Linked DNA regions of Macaca fascicularis. The protein of the gene in region 4 purifies or fractionates together with the protein of the main gene of each other region. This does not show direct contact. Links are inferred from orthologs where the notes say so. Each region holds a gene or a part of one and is shown on either strand. Other genes may lie near its edges.

Evidence for each region. Proteins that work in one complex are often made in the same cells at the same time.
Region 1: the proteins of STX8 (region 4) and VAMP7 purify together in Homo sapiens (affinity purification with western blotting; 3 studies listed by BioGRID and IntAct, with this or other methods). This does not show direct contact. The link is inferred for Macaca fascicularis from reciprocal best matches to the Homo sapiens genes STX8 and VAMP7.
Region 2: the proteins of STX8 (region 4) and VTI1A purify together in Homo sapiens (affinity purification with mass spectrometry; 3 studies listed by BioGRID and IntAct, with this or other methods). This does not show direct contact. The link is inferred for Macaca fascicularis from reciprocal best matches to the Homo sapiens genes STX8 and VTI1A.
Region 3: the proteins of STX8 (region 4) and NAPA purify together in Homo sapiens (affinity purification with mass spectrometry; 4 studies listed by BioGRID and IntAct, with this or other methods). This does not show direct contact. The link is inferred for Macaca fascicularis from reciprocal best matches to the Homo sapiens genes STX8 and NAPA.

What each region holds. Positions count from the first base shown.
Region 1 is NC_088395.1:161,936,688-161,940,187, forward strand, and holds part of VAMP7 (vesicle-associated membrane protein 7), read left to right. Parts: intron 1-327; coding exon 328-385; intron 386-2,806; coding exon 2,807-2,944; intron 2,945-3,500. UniProt on the Homo sapiens protein: Involved in the targeting and/or fusion of transport vesicles to their target membrane during transport of proteins from the early endosome to the lysosome. Required for heterotypic fusion of late endosomes with lysosomes and homotypic lysosomal fusion.
Region 2 is NC_088383.1:121,710,711-121,714,210, forward strand, and holds part of VTI1A (vesicle transport through interaction with t-SNAREs homolog 1A), read left to right. Parts: intron 1-238; coding exon 239-309; intron 310-958; coding exon 959-1,020; coding exon of another isoform or gene 1,021-1,024; exon of another isoform or gene 1,025-1,031; intron 1,032-3,500. UniProt on the Homo sapiens protein: V-SNARE that mediates vesicle transport pathways through interactions with t-SNAREs on the target membrane. These interactions are proposed to mediate aspects of the specificity of vesicle trafficking and to promote fusion of the lipid bilayers.
Region 3 is NC_088393.1:55,512,461-55,515,960, forward strand, and holds part of NAPA (alpha-soluble NSF attachment protein), read right to left. Parts: intron 1,825-3,500; coding exon 1,747-1,824; intron 1,509-1,746; coding exon 1,453-1,508; intron 1,380-1,452; coding exon 1,295-1,379; intron 468-1,294; coding exon 363-467; intron 1-362. UniProt on the Homo sapiens protein: Required for vesicular transport between the endoplasmic reticulum and the Golgi apparatus. Together with GNA12 promotes CDH5 localization to plasma membrane.
Region 4 is NC_088390.1:9,594,952-9,598,451, reverse strand, and holds part of STX8 (syntaxin-8), read left to right. Parts: intron 1-3,126; coding exon 3,127-3,251; intron 3,252-3,500. UniProt on the Homo sapiens protein: Vesicle trafficking protein that functions in the early secretory pathway, possibly by mediating retrograde transport from cis-Golgi membranes to the ER.

The DNA.
Region 1 (3,500 bases), on a different chromosome or scaffold from region 4:
TAATTACATGCTCCTCCTAAGATGTCATCTCTTGTTCATGCTTTGAGAGTCCAATTATGCTTTTGCAGCTGTGGTTCTAATGGGTAATACACATGCTGTTGTGCTATGTAGCTAGAATAGAGATCTTCCTTTTATTTCTTATTTACTTCTCTCAGTTTGACTTGAAAGAAACAGGTATATTGGGAAGGGGAAGAGGGAGAATAGACTGTATCCGTAAGTAATGTGGTGACATTGGCAGTACTGAACTTGCTTATACATAGATAGAAGATAGAAGTAAAAGTGATGTTGCTTATAACCACAGTAAGTTTTATATCTTTTATTCTACAGTTATTTGTTTCATTACATCTGCCAAGACAGGATTGTATATCTTTGTATCACTGATGATGTAAGTAACTTGAAGACATATTGCTATTTAACTATGTGTACTATTAATACAGCCAGTTCTTTATTATCTACACCAGGGGTCCCCAACCCCCAGGCTGCAGACTGGTACAGGTCTGTGGCTTGTTAGGAACCAGACCACATAGCAGGAGGTGAGTGGCCTATGAGCATTACCACCTGAGTTCCACCTCCTATCAGATCAGCAGCAGCATTAGATTCTCATATGAGTGCGAACCCTGTGATGAACTATACATCCGAGGGATCTAGGTTGCATGCTCCTTATGAGAATCTAACTAATGCCTGATGATCTGAGGTGGAACAGTTTCATCCCGAAAACATTCCCCCTCCCCCAGTCCTTGGAAAAATTGTCTTCTACAAAACCGGTCCCTGGTGCCAAAAAGGTTGGGGACTGCTGATCTGTACCTATGGTGGGCAAAGGTGATGCGAACTTTACATAGCTGGAATTGTTAATATTTTGCATTTGTCATATAGAGCAGCAAATGATAAGAAAACTTGATACTGCGGTATGTGCAAATCAGTTCGATTTTGGTAGAGTTTTAGCTTAGCCTGTTGCAACTTCTATATTCTATTTTGTAGTGAGAATTGGTGTTCATAATTATAATTCTTTGATATCAAAACCTCTCAAAAATTGTTTACCTGGAATGTTAAATTAGATAACGTCATTCCTTCTATCAGTAGTTAATGAATTCTTTCATGTGTGTGAACTTTGGAAAAACAAAATTACAGTACATTATGATCAGCTATATAAACCTGTAGTTTACATTGGCTAGGTATGACTGTCGGCTCTCAGCCCAAAATTCTCAGTAACTTAATGATGTCATTAAGGTCCTTTCTCTTCTCTGCTTTCCTCCGTGTCTCCTTCTTCCCAGACAGGTTGCCATTATGGTTATGTAGAGCTACATACTTATTTATTCATGTCCAGAGAAGAGGGACTGTGTCTTCTTGAGTGTCTTATTGTAGGAATGAGGAAGCTTTTCCCAGCTGCATGCCCTCCCCTCCCCCTTCTTTCAAAGTGAACTTCCTTTCATGTCTTATTGGCTGCATGCTCATTTCTAAACTGTCTACTGACAAAGAGACATGGAATTGGCATGGTTGCCATAGATCAGGGTTCCTAATCTTTGTTGTATCACAGACTCGTCACTTGTGGAACACTCCCAGAATGCTTTTGTTTTCTTTTTTTAATTTTCCTTTTCCAGAATGCTTTTAAATGTATAAAACACACACAATTCTAACAAAGCCAGTTGTATTGAAATATATATATATGTAGTTTTCAAAATATTTTAAAAACTTGATGTAGTCATATATATGCTTCTTTATTAACTCATTAACAAGGTCTAGTCGTGGGTCTAATAACTAATAATCTTGATGTGATGGGTGTTAACAATATTTTGAGATATCTATAACTGTGATGGTATATGAAAAAAGATTTCTGTTGGTGATAGTTACAGGTACTGTTAATACTACCTTGGTTATGAATATACTACCTATATTCACAATTGAAATATAAGTTAACAATTGATAAAAATAATGATGTGATGATCTTTTTTTCTATCCAAGTACAAGGGCCCCTTGAATTTGGACCATTGACCCCAATTTAAGAACCCTCGGCTTAGACTAAGCATCTTGGGTGAAAGGGAAATGACTGTCAACCATAGTGATCATCACAATGATTTTTATCTCTGGCTTCACAATATTTTCCAAAAGTAGAAAAAAATCCAGCTATATGTGAAATGACTGATGTGAAAGAGCTTGGAGTAGATAAAAAATAATAATGAAATCTGGGATAGTCAGAGTCGAGCCTCGTATTTCTTGAGCTGTAATTTGATACACACATACACATACATACATAAACACACATACACACATTCATTTTTTTCCTCTAAGGTATTCTTCTAGAGAACACACATAATTTTTGGCTGGCTGAGATTAGACATGAGTATGTCACTTGATCTTTTCAAATGTACCACCACTATTGAAAAAATTCAATTTGAAGTTAATATCAGTAGTATTATCTGTGTGTATGAAAGACTGTATGATTATTATGGGATTTATTAAACATATTCTTGTGCTGGGCCTTCTAATAGATCCTGTAAAATATATGGAGGAAGTAAAACCCAATTCCTGATGTCAAGAAGTTGATAATTATCATTATCTTCAGTTGTCAATGACCGGATATATCTGGATTCACTCTCAGCTCTTTCATTTACTAGTTGTTGGACCTTTGGACAAGTTAGTTACTTTTTCAGGGCCTTCCTTTACTTATCTTTAAGATAGGATCATTGCTAGTTCCTCCTCATAGAATCATTGCTCAATCAATGTTAGCTATTTTTTATTGTTGTTCTTAATCACTCACATCATCTTTGTTTACTTTCTAAATGTGAGTTCTGTGTTGATCTCTTTTCAGGATTTTGAACGTTCTCGAGCCTTTAATTTTCTGAATGAGATAAAGAAGAGGTTCCAGACTACTTATGGTTCAAGAGCACAGACAGCACTTCCATATGCCATGAATAGCGAGTTCTCCAGTGTCTTGGCTGCACAGCTGGTAAGATCTTTCTCAGGATAAGGTATTTTGATTTTTATCTTCTTTATTACCTTCAAATGCTATGAATCTAGGGGGCCCTGACCTGCAATATAGTTTTCTGATTGTGTTACTGTAAGTCAACATAATAAAACTTGCCTGATTAAAAAAAATGTAAAGGAGCAATTTTAGGGTAGAAAACAGTGATATTCTTTATTATCTCTGTATTCTCTATTAATAGTGGTCATAGTGTCTCATGATCGGAAGAGCATTAAAGATCATCTAGTTCAACTACCCATCTGATGCTTAAATGTGTTCAACATGCCAAATGATCTTTTAACCTGTACATAAACCTTCTACCCTTCCATGAGGCAAATTTAATTTTCTAACAACCCAAATTAATAATTTGAAACTCTCTTCATCTGTATGAGTCCATAATTATCAGCTTCGTGAGGTTTTACATGTGTTTATACCTGTGAAATACCACTGTACTCAAGACAGCATTTTAATCTCCCTAAAAATTCCCTTATGTCGGTCCCCTCCCCCACACTCTGCCCCAGGCAACCACTGATCTGTTTTC
Region 2 (3,500 bases), on a different chromosome or scaffold from region 4:
TAAGTCATTATTCTCATGTTGGTTATGTTCTATAGGTCAAATATCTAATTATACCTAAGATAAATAGACACATTTATCAAATACTGTTTATATTTTTCAAATACATGAATTGAAATACGTGTCTAATGTATAATGCATGCATGCTACTTTAACATTTTATGTCATTTGGGTACTCCTGAGAGTTATTCTCATGTGCACTCCGAGTCATTTTTCCTTACTCAGATTTTCTTTTCCATAGAGCAAATTGGTCAGGAGATGTTGGAAAACCTTAGTCATGACAGAGAAAAGATACAGCGAGCACGTGAAAGAGTAAGTATAAGTGATATAGTTTTTTCACATATTCAGTAAATGAAGACATAAATGAAAGGCATTGGGACATAAACAGTAGCAATTAGGTAGTTATATGTATCTAAGGTGAAAGAGGGTGTAAAGTCTGTGGAAAGGAAAAGAAAGAGAGTGACATGGAGCAAATAGCAGCCGACTCTATGTCCCCATCCCAGAATGCTCCCAGGTGGGTATTTTATTTACTTCTTATAGAGGAGAAGGTCACTGAGGGAGATTTTGGAGTATGTTCATCTTTTAGAGTGAAAACTATAGAATTATTGGTGGTCATCTTTTCTCAATTCATATTATTTTTATGTTTTTAGGACTGCACATTCATAAGTTGGAGATGAATTACCAAATGTTTATGAAACTTTTTCAGCCTGTGCTTTGCTTTTATATCTGGTTCTAGTATCCAGCTTAAAGCTCCCAAGATTACCTCTCATGTGTCATTCTCCAAATATAAGAATTTTCCATGTTTGTGTAGCTGTCAGAAATGTATTTATTTTTGTATATTTGAACATTTTTATTGTTTGGATTTTCTACCGTGAAATAAATTGTCACTTGCCATGCACTTTAGAAATAGTCTAATTGCATGAACTTTTGTTTTGTTTTAACATTGCTGTTCTTCTTGTAGCTTCGGGAAACAGACGCTAATTTGGGAAAAAGCTCCAGGATTCTGACGGGGATGTTGCGAAGGTAAGAGCAAGGTAGGGACCCATCTTTCTCTCTGTCTCTTTTTAAAACTATTATGTTTTCATTCAATTGCAACGGGGCATATTACATGCTTTTAAGCTTCTGCTCTTAGTGCCCTGTGTCAGGACCCGTTTGAAATAATAAAGCACTGATATTAACTCTTATTTGGACAGGGACACATAGTAACACAGATTAGAGAGAAAGCTTGAGCTAGGGGGGTAACCTGAAGCTATGGAAAAAATTAGGGTTAGACATGAAGTGTTTTTTCATAGCCTGAGGAAGGCCCCATGGCAGGAGCAGGCTGATTTTATTTTCTATTTTGATGGCCTCCTTCTTATGGAGGGAATGCAGACCTACCATTTTCAGGAGCACAGTTGCTGTTAGTTTTGCTCTGTGTTGCCTTGTTTTCATTTCTTTAAGTGACACGGTTTGGGGAAACATTTCTGTTTTATGTATACACTGAAAGATGATTTATAAAACGTCAAGATTATCTGAATAATATGTGCTAACAAACAAATGTTCATGTTTTATATGTGTAACTCAACCTTGATTGATGAAAAATATGCTAAATAGTATGAGAAAATAAATGAATGAATGCAGGTAATGTTCTTATAAGTACATTCAGCGCAAAATTATTTCACATTCAGAATCTACCACATAAGAATATCATCTAGCATGACTGTCAGTTTGGAACTGTGGATAGAAAAGTGAATGAGAAACATTGAGAATGGCCTCTGGAATAGCTTAATTAGAATTTTTAAGAAGGAAATCTTTATAGTTGATACTATAAAGACAACCATCTAAAAATAACTAAAGTCTTCTTTGATCACGTATCCATATACAATAGTTTGCTAAAAGTATGTTTGCCGTGTTACAGATTTATTACATAAGAATCAATCAAATGTCTAGTGGTTTGGTCTTCAAGACTGTTAAGATTTTTCTAAGTAGCCTGACCAGTAGCAAGCTTAAAGTTCCTGGGACATTTCCAGCCAAGGCTTGCATAATATGACATTCCTTCTCATTTTCTTGGACCCTGACTCCCAACTCAGAATCATAAGCCATCAAATTCTCTGATTAAGAGTACTAGGTAAATGGCCTAAGAAAAACTCAGAATTCAGAGAGAAGGGTAGTGGTGATTGAAAGGAATGCTTCAGTGCCTATAGACAATAAAAAAGAAAGGAAGGGGAGGGAAAAACCTCTGTTGCTTTCCTGGGAGGGCTCCTGCGTCGTGAGCTGTAACGAATATTCTGCATATGTCTCCATTTTGTCAAATCTCATTAAAGAGTCCTCCTGCTTTATGTCAATTGAGCTGTCCAGAAATCATTCATCATTTTTAGTGTAAAAAAAATGATGTGGTTATTTAAATAATATCATATTAATGTTAAAGTTCAGCTGTCATTTAATGGTATGGCTTAATCAGATGTAGCATTTAGGAAAAATAGTTTATGCGGGCTCCACGTGGCTTTCAGGTTGGCAGATTCAAATAAGGATTTATGGGTTTCGAAACCAATGTATTTCTGTCCATGTTTCTGCTTGATGTACCTCACCCTTTAGTGCAGGACACTGCAGACAGTTATTTCAACAAATAAAGCATCTCCTCATATTGTGTTTGAATAAATTTGCAAGTCATTTAGAGAGGGCGAAGCACAAACAACTTCGGCAACCTTTGACTGGGCTTTCTGTAGGGAAATCATAATAACGTGGTTGTTTCAGAAGCCTACGGAAGAAAATTACTCTGGTGAAATCTACATGGGGTTCTCTTTGTAAGCAAACTCAGTCAATCACTGACTCATCTTCTTTTGGGATGTGTCTAGAGTATGAACAGAAATAAAAATTCCCAGATGGACATCACCTTGCTACATCTGAACCAAGGGTACGCTTAAGTCCACCTGTTCATATGCATGACAATGTTTTTCACTAGGCACAGCTGGGATCTTGGTATCAGCCAGGATATTCAGATATTTTCAACCAATGCCTTGACCTGGCAATGGTCTCTGGGGACCAAATGCAGTGGTGGTTTTGTTTTAGTTTCTAATTACTGCCCCATATGATATACAATGTATTTTGGACTTGGGAAAAGGTACAAACATTTTACCAACCTCTCTGCTTCATTATTTTGGTTATCTCATGGAAAAGCTCTCTGCAGAGAAATAGAGGCAGGGTTTATGTACCAAAGCCTCTTATTGAATGCTCTGATTTTGCTTTCTCTGTTACATCCCTCCCATTCATTCATATGGCTTTCGCTTCCAGCCCTGGTGAGCTTGTATTTCAGAAAGAAAAGCCACATTCTCTTACTATTCTTCTTACCAAAACTGCATAGCTATGTCGTGTGTCAGCAAGCGCTTCTGATTTAGGAAATGCTATGATACTGAATCGTGCTCATCTGCTACCTTCACAAATGTGTAAAAGAAATGAATGTCCTCATTGTGCAGTGCAAGCATTTACCTGCATATAACATAAGCTTAATTATTTTCATATGATGA
Region 3 (3,500 bases), on a different chromosome or scaffold from region 4:
CTGGAACGCTGGGGCTACAGGTCCCTAGCCATGTGGCCTCAAACAAGGGACTCTGGTCCCAGCCTCACCACCTTCACTTGTAAGACGAGGTGACAATGGTGCTGACTTTAATGGGATGCAGCGAGGATTCAAAACGTGCACCCATGAAGAAAAGAGCACTAAGTGAGGCAGGAGCTGGACCTACAAAAGCCTCCAGGGCTGGGCGGGCAGGTGACTCCAGCACAGAAACATAGCTGTGAGATTCACACTTCTCATCCAAAGGCTGCCTGGCAGGGGCCAGACGTGAGGGAGGAGCACGTCCATCTTGGGGGGTAACAGGACCTGGCCTGGCGCGGTGGTCTGGTGGGCATGGGGCGTGCTACCTTGGCGTTGAGCATGTCGATGCAGAAGTGGCAGAGGGCCGCCTTGAAGAAGTAGTCTTTGGCACTGTACTTGAGGAGGGGGCTGTCCATGGCATTGGTCCCCACCTGTAGCCATGGGGAAGTGGCACTGTGAGCTCAGGGCAAGCAGTCAGAGGGCTAGAGCCACTGCCAGGCACTGGGGGGCCAGCTGGGAGCTGGGTCCATGTCCCAGGGTGAGGCCGTTAACCCAGGACCCCAATGGCAGGGAGCCAGGGACTGGCTTGGGGAGATCAGTGGCCAGTGCATAAGCGACCAAGACCAGGGTGTGATGGTGGCTGGGTGGAGGTGGAGGCTGTAGCCAGGTGTTCGAGGGCTCCCAAAAGCCTGAGACAGTGGGGAGGTGGCGGCCTGGCTGTCACGACCAACGGGAGGCTGGCATGGCAGTGGGCAGAGGGGCGGCAGGAACATGAGAGGCGGCACCCACCCTTCTCTCCCCAGGGGCCAGCTGCCTGCCTTTTTCTTGGCCATCACCCAGGGCTCCATGCACGCTGGGGGGACCCCATGTGACACTCCCTCCCTCCCACTGTGGATGAGGACCATCGTGCCATGGGGTGGGGTGCCCACAGCCACCCTGGGCCTCTTGGCACTTCTTCCCGTTGCCTCCCTCTGGGTTCTTTAGCCAGCCTCGCTCTGGGCCCCTCCAGGAAGCTCTGTGAGGGGTGTGGGAGGGGCACAGCCAGGGAGACGGTGCTGACACGGCATGGAGTCGTAGGTGGAGAATGTTCAGCCAGACTGAAGATGGGGTGGGGGGATGACATGGCAAGGGCTGTGCGGGAAGAGGCAGAGGGCGAGCCAGGGGAGGGGTGGTTCCAGAACAAGGCGCCGGGGCTTAGGAAGAGGCACAGGCTCTGGGAGGGGGCAGGATGGGGGCCGCCATCCCCACCTGTCCCCACCTGCTCGTAGATGTCAATGGCCTTCTGATACTGCTCCAACAGTGCGGCGTAGCCAGCCACCTTCAGCAGACACTTGTTGGCTGAGCTGTGTGGGAAGGAGGAGTGAGGGGAAGTGGTGGTGGTCCCTGAGGGGCTGGGGCAGGCAGGAAGGGGGCTACCTGTTGGACTCTTCGCCTTTGTAGTAGTCTGCGGACTGCTCGTAGTGGGCGATGGCCTGGGGAGACATGGGGGATGGGTTCCAGGGGAGGGCAGGGGAGGGAGAGGAGGTCTCCATGAAGCTTCCATACCCTTCGCCCTGCCCATCTGGGACACAGCCAGACCCCGTTCTCCAAGCTCTGCCAGCGCCCCATGCCCCCTTCTCGGCACTCAGACACCAGAGGACTCCTCTGGTGGGAAGAGAGAGCAGCGCTGGTCTTGGCTGCCAGCCCAGGAAGGGCCCTGCTGCCACTCACCTTCTCGATGTCTACCAACTCCGTCTCATAGATCTCAGCAATGGAGATGTGGTGCTTGGCCGCAATCGTGAATCGGCCCTGGAGGGGACACGGGAAGGGACTGCCTGTGACTCATGACCTGCATGCCCTGTCCTGCACCCCTGCTGACCCATGACCCTTCAAGTTCCTACCCCTCAGCCAGGCCTGTGAGGAGGTATGAAGAAAACACTGAGAGGAGGGGGAACACAGGGGTGAGAAGGGAGGGCCCCAGCACTAGAGGCCTGGCTGTGCGTGCTGGGCTGAGCTGGTGACCTTGGACAAGCCACTCCAGAGCCTCAGCCTAATTTCATCCTGTCCATGAGGGCACAGATGGTGTGACACCAGAGAGGATGTGAGCACGAGCACTTGGCCAAGGCCCTGGCCCTTAGGAAGCCTCTGATAGCAGCCAGAGAGGCGGAAGGACCAGCCCAGAGTCACTTGGCAAAAGGATTTGGAGAAACCAGGATGGGAGGGAGGACTTGAGACCCCTGCCCAAGAGTACTAGCTCTGCCCCCAGGCCAACACCTACCTGTCAGCCTCTCCCATGCACACCCAGAGCTCCCCAGGGAGGCCTCAGGTTCTGAGGGGCCTCGCACCTTCCATCCGCCTCCACCCAGTGTCCAGGCGCTTGCCTGACTGCTCTGCCCCAAGGGCTGGTCCAACGCCACCCCCTTGCTGAGGGCAGTAGGAAAAGGCAAGGTCCTGGGCTCAGCCAGACCTTGTTTTGGGTCTCAGTGACTCCTGCTTGTAGCCGCGTGTCCCTGGGCAAGTCATGTCACTCGTCTGAGCCCCTCTCCTCCACTATGGAATGGGGATGACAATAATGCCAACATCACAGGGCTGTGGATTAAACCACCCTGCAGTGTCTGGCATAATAAATGGGAGCTGCTATTATTGTTCTAATCACAGTCATCCCTGCAGCATTGCCCTGAACACAAGGGGTAGGGCTCGTGCCCCTGCCTGGGGTTTGAGAGCTGAGACAGGGCAAGCAGAGAGACAAAAAGGAGCTGGCCAGGCGTGGTGGCTCACGCCTGTAATCCCAGCACTTTGGGAGGCCAAGGCGGGTGGATCACTTGAGGTCAGGAGTCCGAGACCAGCCTGGCCAACATGGTGAAACCGCATCTCTACTGAAAATACAAAAATTAGCCGGGCGTGGTAGCACACGCCTGTAATCCCAGCTACTTGAGAGACTGAGGCACGAGAATTGCTTGAACCTGGGAGACAGAGGTTGCAGTGAGTGGAGATCACGCCACTGACCTCCAGCCTGGATGAGAGGGACAGACTCTGTCTCAAAAAAATAAATGAAAGAAAGAAAAGAAAGAAAAGAAAGAAAAGAAAGAAAGAAAGAAAGGAAGGAAGGAAGGAAGGAAGGAAGGAAGGAAGGAAGGAAGGAAGGAAGGAAGGAAGGAAGGAAGGAAGGGAGAGAAAGAGAGAGAAAGAGAGAGAGAAAGAAAGAAAGAGAGAGAGAAAGAGAGAGAGAGAGAAAGAGAGAAAGAAAGAGAGAGAAAGCACTGACAGGAGCCCTGGCCTGGGTGGAACCCTTCACTCTGGCTCCGGTTGGCAGCTGCCCATCTGGTCTGCATCTGTCATTGGCAAAGCCCCCTGGGACAGGACAGGTGGTGAGCCTCCTGTGGGCTCTGCCTATCCCTGTGGCCTGCTGCAAGAGGCTTATCAAATAATACGACACTTGTGGGAAGGCTGGGCAAGGGAAAGTGCCGGACACACTCTCTCCAGTA
Region 4 (3,500 bases):
TATTCTTTTGGTAAAGCTTCTAGCTTGTATTTGTTTATTCATTGAATTATTTTACTCTAGGATACCTGTTTTGTCCTTTTTTATGGTATTTATCTTCTTGTTGAATTTCTTATTCAAGTCATGAATTGTTTTCCTGATTTCATCAAATCGTCTAGCTCTATTATCTTGTATCTCACTGTAACATTACTATTTTGAAATCTTTTTCTGTCATTTTGTATATTTCTCTATCATTGGGGTCTATTACACAGGAATTATTGTATTCCTTTGGAGGTGTCATGTTTCCTTACTTTTTCATGTTCGATGTATCCCTATGTTGATTTCTATGCATCTGGTGGAATAGTTGCTTCTTCCAATTCTATGCAGTAGGTTTTGCAGGGAAAGAAATATTCATATGAATGGATCTTGGGGTGTTGGTTTAGTGGGATGCATTGGTTTTGGTTCCAGGTGGGCATAGTAGTGTAGTTTTTGTATAGTTTCTTCAAGTGTAATCCATGCTAGTGATGTTTGTGAGTGTCTCAGTGGCCTCAGCTGAGAGGCTTTGTGGTGGTGGTGGCATGACTTTGCCAGGGATGTGCTCACTGGGCTATTTGTCAGGTCAACGATGCATGCATTCACATGGTGGGTTGTCCAACTTGGGGTCTCACTTGCTGGGGTTGGGGTTGCTTCCCTTACTCTGGCTGAGGGCACAGTTGCTTGGTTGCTTGGCCAGGCTGGGAGTATGCCTGCCAGAGGTGGCCTGTTGGACTGTTTCTCAGGTTTGGGACATGGGCACACTGCTGCTCAGCTCTCCTGGGGGGAATGCCTGCTGCAGACAGCCCACAGGGCTATTTCTCAGTCATGAGAGGTGGGCATAAGGCTGCTTGACAGCCCTCTGGGCATGTCTGCCGGGAGTGGCCTGAGGAGTTGCATCTCAGACCTGGGATGTGAACACAGGGCTGCTCAGCTGGCCTAGGGGAGTTGCTGCTGGGGGTAACCCATGGACTGTTTTTCAGGCCTGGGATGTGGACATAGGGCCACTTGGCTGACTTGGGGTTATGTCTGCCAGGGGCATCCTGCAGGGTTGTTTCTCAGGCCCTGATTGAGGTGGGGAGCCTTTCGGTAGGCTGGGGGCATGTCTGTAGGGGGCTGCACTGCCCGACTGTGTCACAGATCCTGGATGCAGAAGTGTAGTCACTGTGCTAGCCTGTCAGTTGCACAGGCCTTCTGCTTGCAGGGGGGTATACAGCAGTTTGGTTGGCTCGAGAGTGGTTTGCCCTGGGTGGGACTGTTTCTGTGGCTGAAAGTGAGGATGGTGGTTTTCCTTCAGTGCAGGACCAGAGTCACAGCCATTCCTGGGGCCTGGGGTGTGGAGTTCAGCCACCTGTGTAGGTTTGGTGGCATGAAGATGGAGTCCCAGTGCTGGAAAGGTGCAGTGGCTACTGGCCCCAAGAGGAAGGCACACTCCAGAGGGAGCTGTGGTCTGAAGATGGCGCCATGCTGTAGTAACTTGGCTCATGGGGTGGGTGGGGAGTGGGGTATATGCCTAATCTGGGGCAGTGCGACTGTACGAATTCCCAGCAGCTCTCCAAACTGGGCTCAGAACTTGCAAGGACTGGGGGATCCTCCTGTAGTAGGGACTGTAGGTGTTTGCCGCGGCAGTGGAGGCAGGTGGAAATCTCCTGCTTACCTTTTCCTCAAAGGGAGAAGGCCCTCATATGTCCAGGCCTACCCAATCCTGGTGGAAGAGATGGGGCCACGGAGGCTGGGGGCCTTCATGCTGCCCTTCTAGACTTTCAATCACCACAGGGGCCTCTCCACTTCCCCACTGCAGTCCAGTGCTTTCCCACACTGAAGTCAAATCTTAGCTGTTTATTCATTGCCTTTGTCCTTCCGTAAGAAAGTGGGGGGCAGGTGAGCACCAGGTGCCTCTAATCAGCCATCTTGCTGATGTCCCACCCACCATTTATTCTATGATTTTTCATGAATCTGATGAGAGCTCTAAAGTGAATGTTCATCTCTTCGTTGAAGTGGTCAGAAGGTGGTGTCCTGGACAAGATGGTCTTCTCAGCTTGGACAGAATGTGGACAGGCAGGGAGAGGAGAGGAGCTACTTGAGAGGAGGAGAATCCTGAAAACATGGGGATTGAGGTGGAAATCATGTGTTTCCTGATCCTTAGATAGCGAGACCAACTGATCTGGTGCAGAAAGGGCACATGGATTGTTAGAGGGAGTAAGGTTAAGATTGACAAATCAGAATGTGTTTATTCTGTTATGAATGCTACATTAAAGTCACAAAATTGGTATTGAAACCCTGCCTGTGTCTGTGAGCAATCAAATACTCCTTTTTTTTTTTTTTTTTTGAGACAGAGTCTTGCTCTGCTACCCAGGCTGCAGTGCAGTGGCGCTATATTGGCTCACTGCAACCTCTGCCTCCCAGTTCAAGCAGTTCTCCTGCCTCAGCCACCCAAGTAGCTGGGATTACAGATGCCCACCGCCAAGCCTGGCTAATTGTTTTTGTGTTTATTAGAGACAGGGTTTCATCGTGTTGGCCAGGGTGGTCTGGAACTCCTGACTTCAGGTGATCTGCCCGCCTCGGCCTCCCAGATTGTTGGGATTACAGGCATGAGCCACTACGCCTGGCTCCAAATATCCTTTAATGGGAAATTATGTGGTCTCTTTAAAAAAAATAAAAATAAAAAAAATAACATTGTAATCTGTAGTCGCAACATTGTATCTGCTTGAGAAATAATATTTGTACCTTTGGGGTCACATAGCCTCTGAGACAAACTTTGTCCTAATAAAAAGGCTACTGTTTAGCCTTCTGTTTTTGAAATTTAAGAACCTCATTTATTACCAACTTCTCTTAGGATTAACTCAAACATTTCTTAGAGGATTAGTACAAATATTATGTTCTCTCATCATCTCTATAACAGGCTGTAATTCTGAGGACCAAGCTTGTGCCTATTCATCCCTGTATCTCTTCCAGCACTGAATACAGTTCCTGGCATAAACTCAGGATGCAATAAATTGTGTTTGAATTGAATTTTCAAAGCATTCAAGGCTGGCCACCTCTGCACTTGGTGGGAGTAATTTGCATTTGAGCTGCATGTTTTGAGATATATCAATATCGTTTAATATTGTTCTTTAGGTCCAGCCTGATGAGTGAAGAGGCTAAGCGAGGAGCACCCAACCCTTGGCTCTTTGAGGAGCCAGAGGAGACCAGAGGCTTGGGTTTTGATGAAATCCGGCAACAGCAGCAGAAAATTATCCAAGGTACCAAATACCCTGAGGAGTGTGGGCTCAGAAACCTTGCCAGAATTTTTTTTGTTTTTTTGAGACAGAATCTTTCTCTGTCACCCAGGCTGGAGTGCAGTGGCGTGATCTTGGCTCACTGCAACCTCCACCTCTTGGGTTCAAACGATTCTCCTGCCGCAGTCTTCCGAGAGGCTGGGACTACAGGCGCGTGCCACCATGCCTGGCTAATTTTTTGTATTTTTTTAGTCGAGACAGGGTTTCACCCTA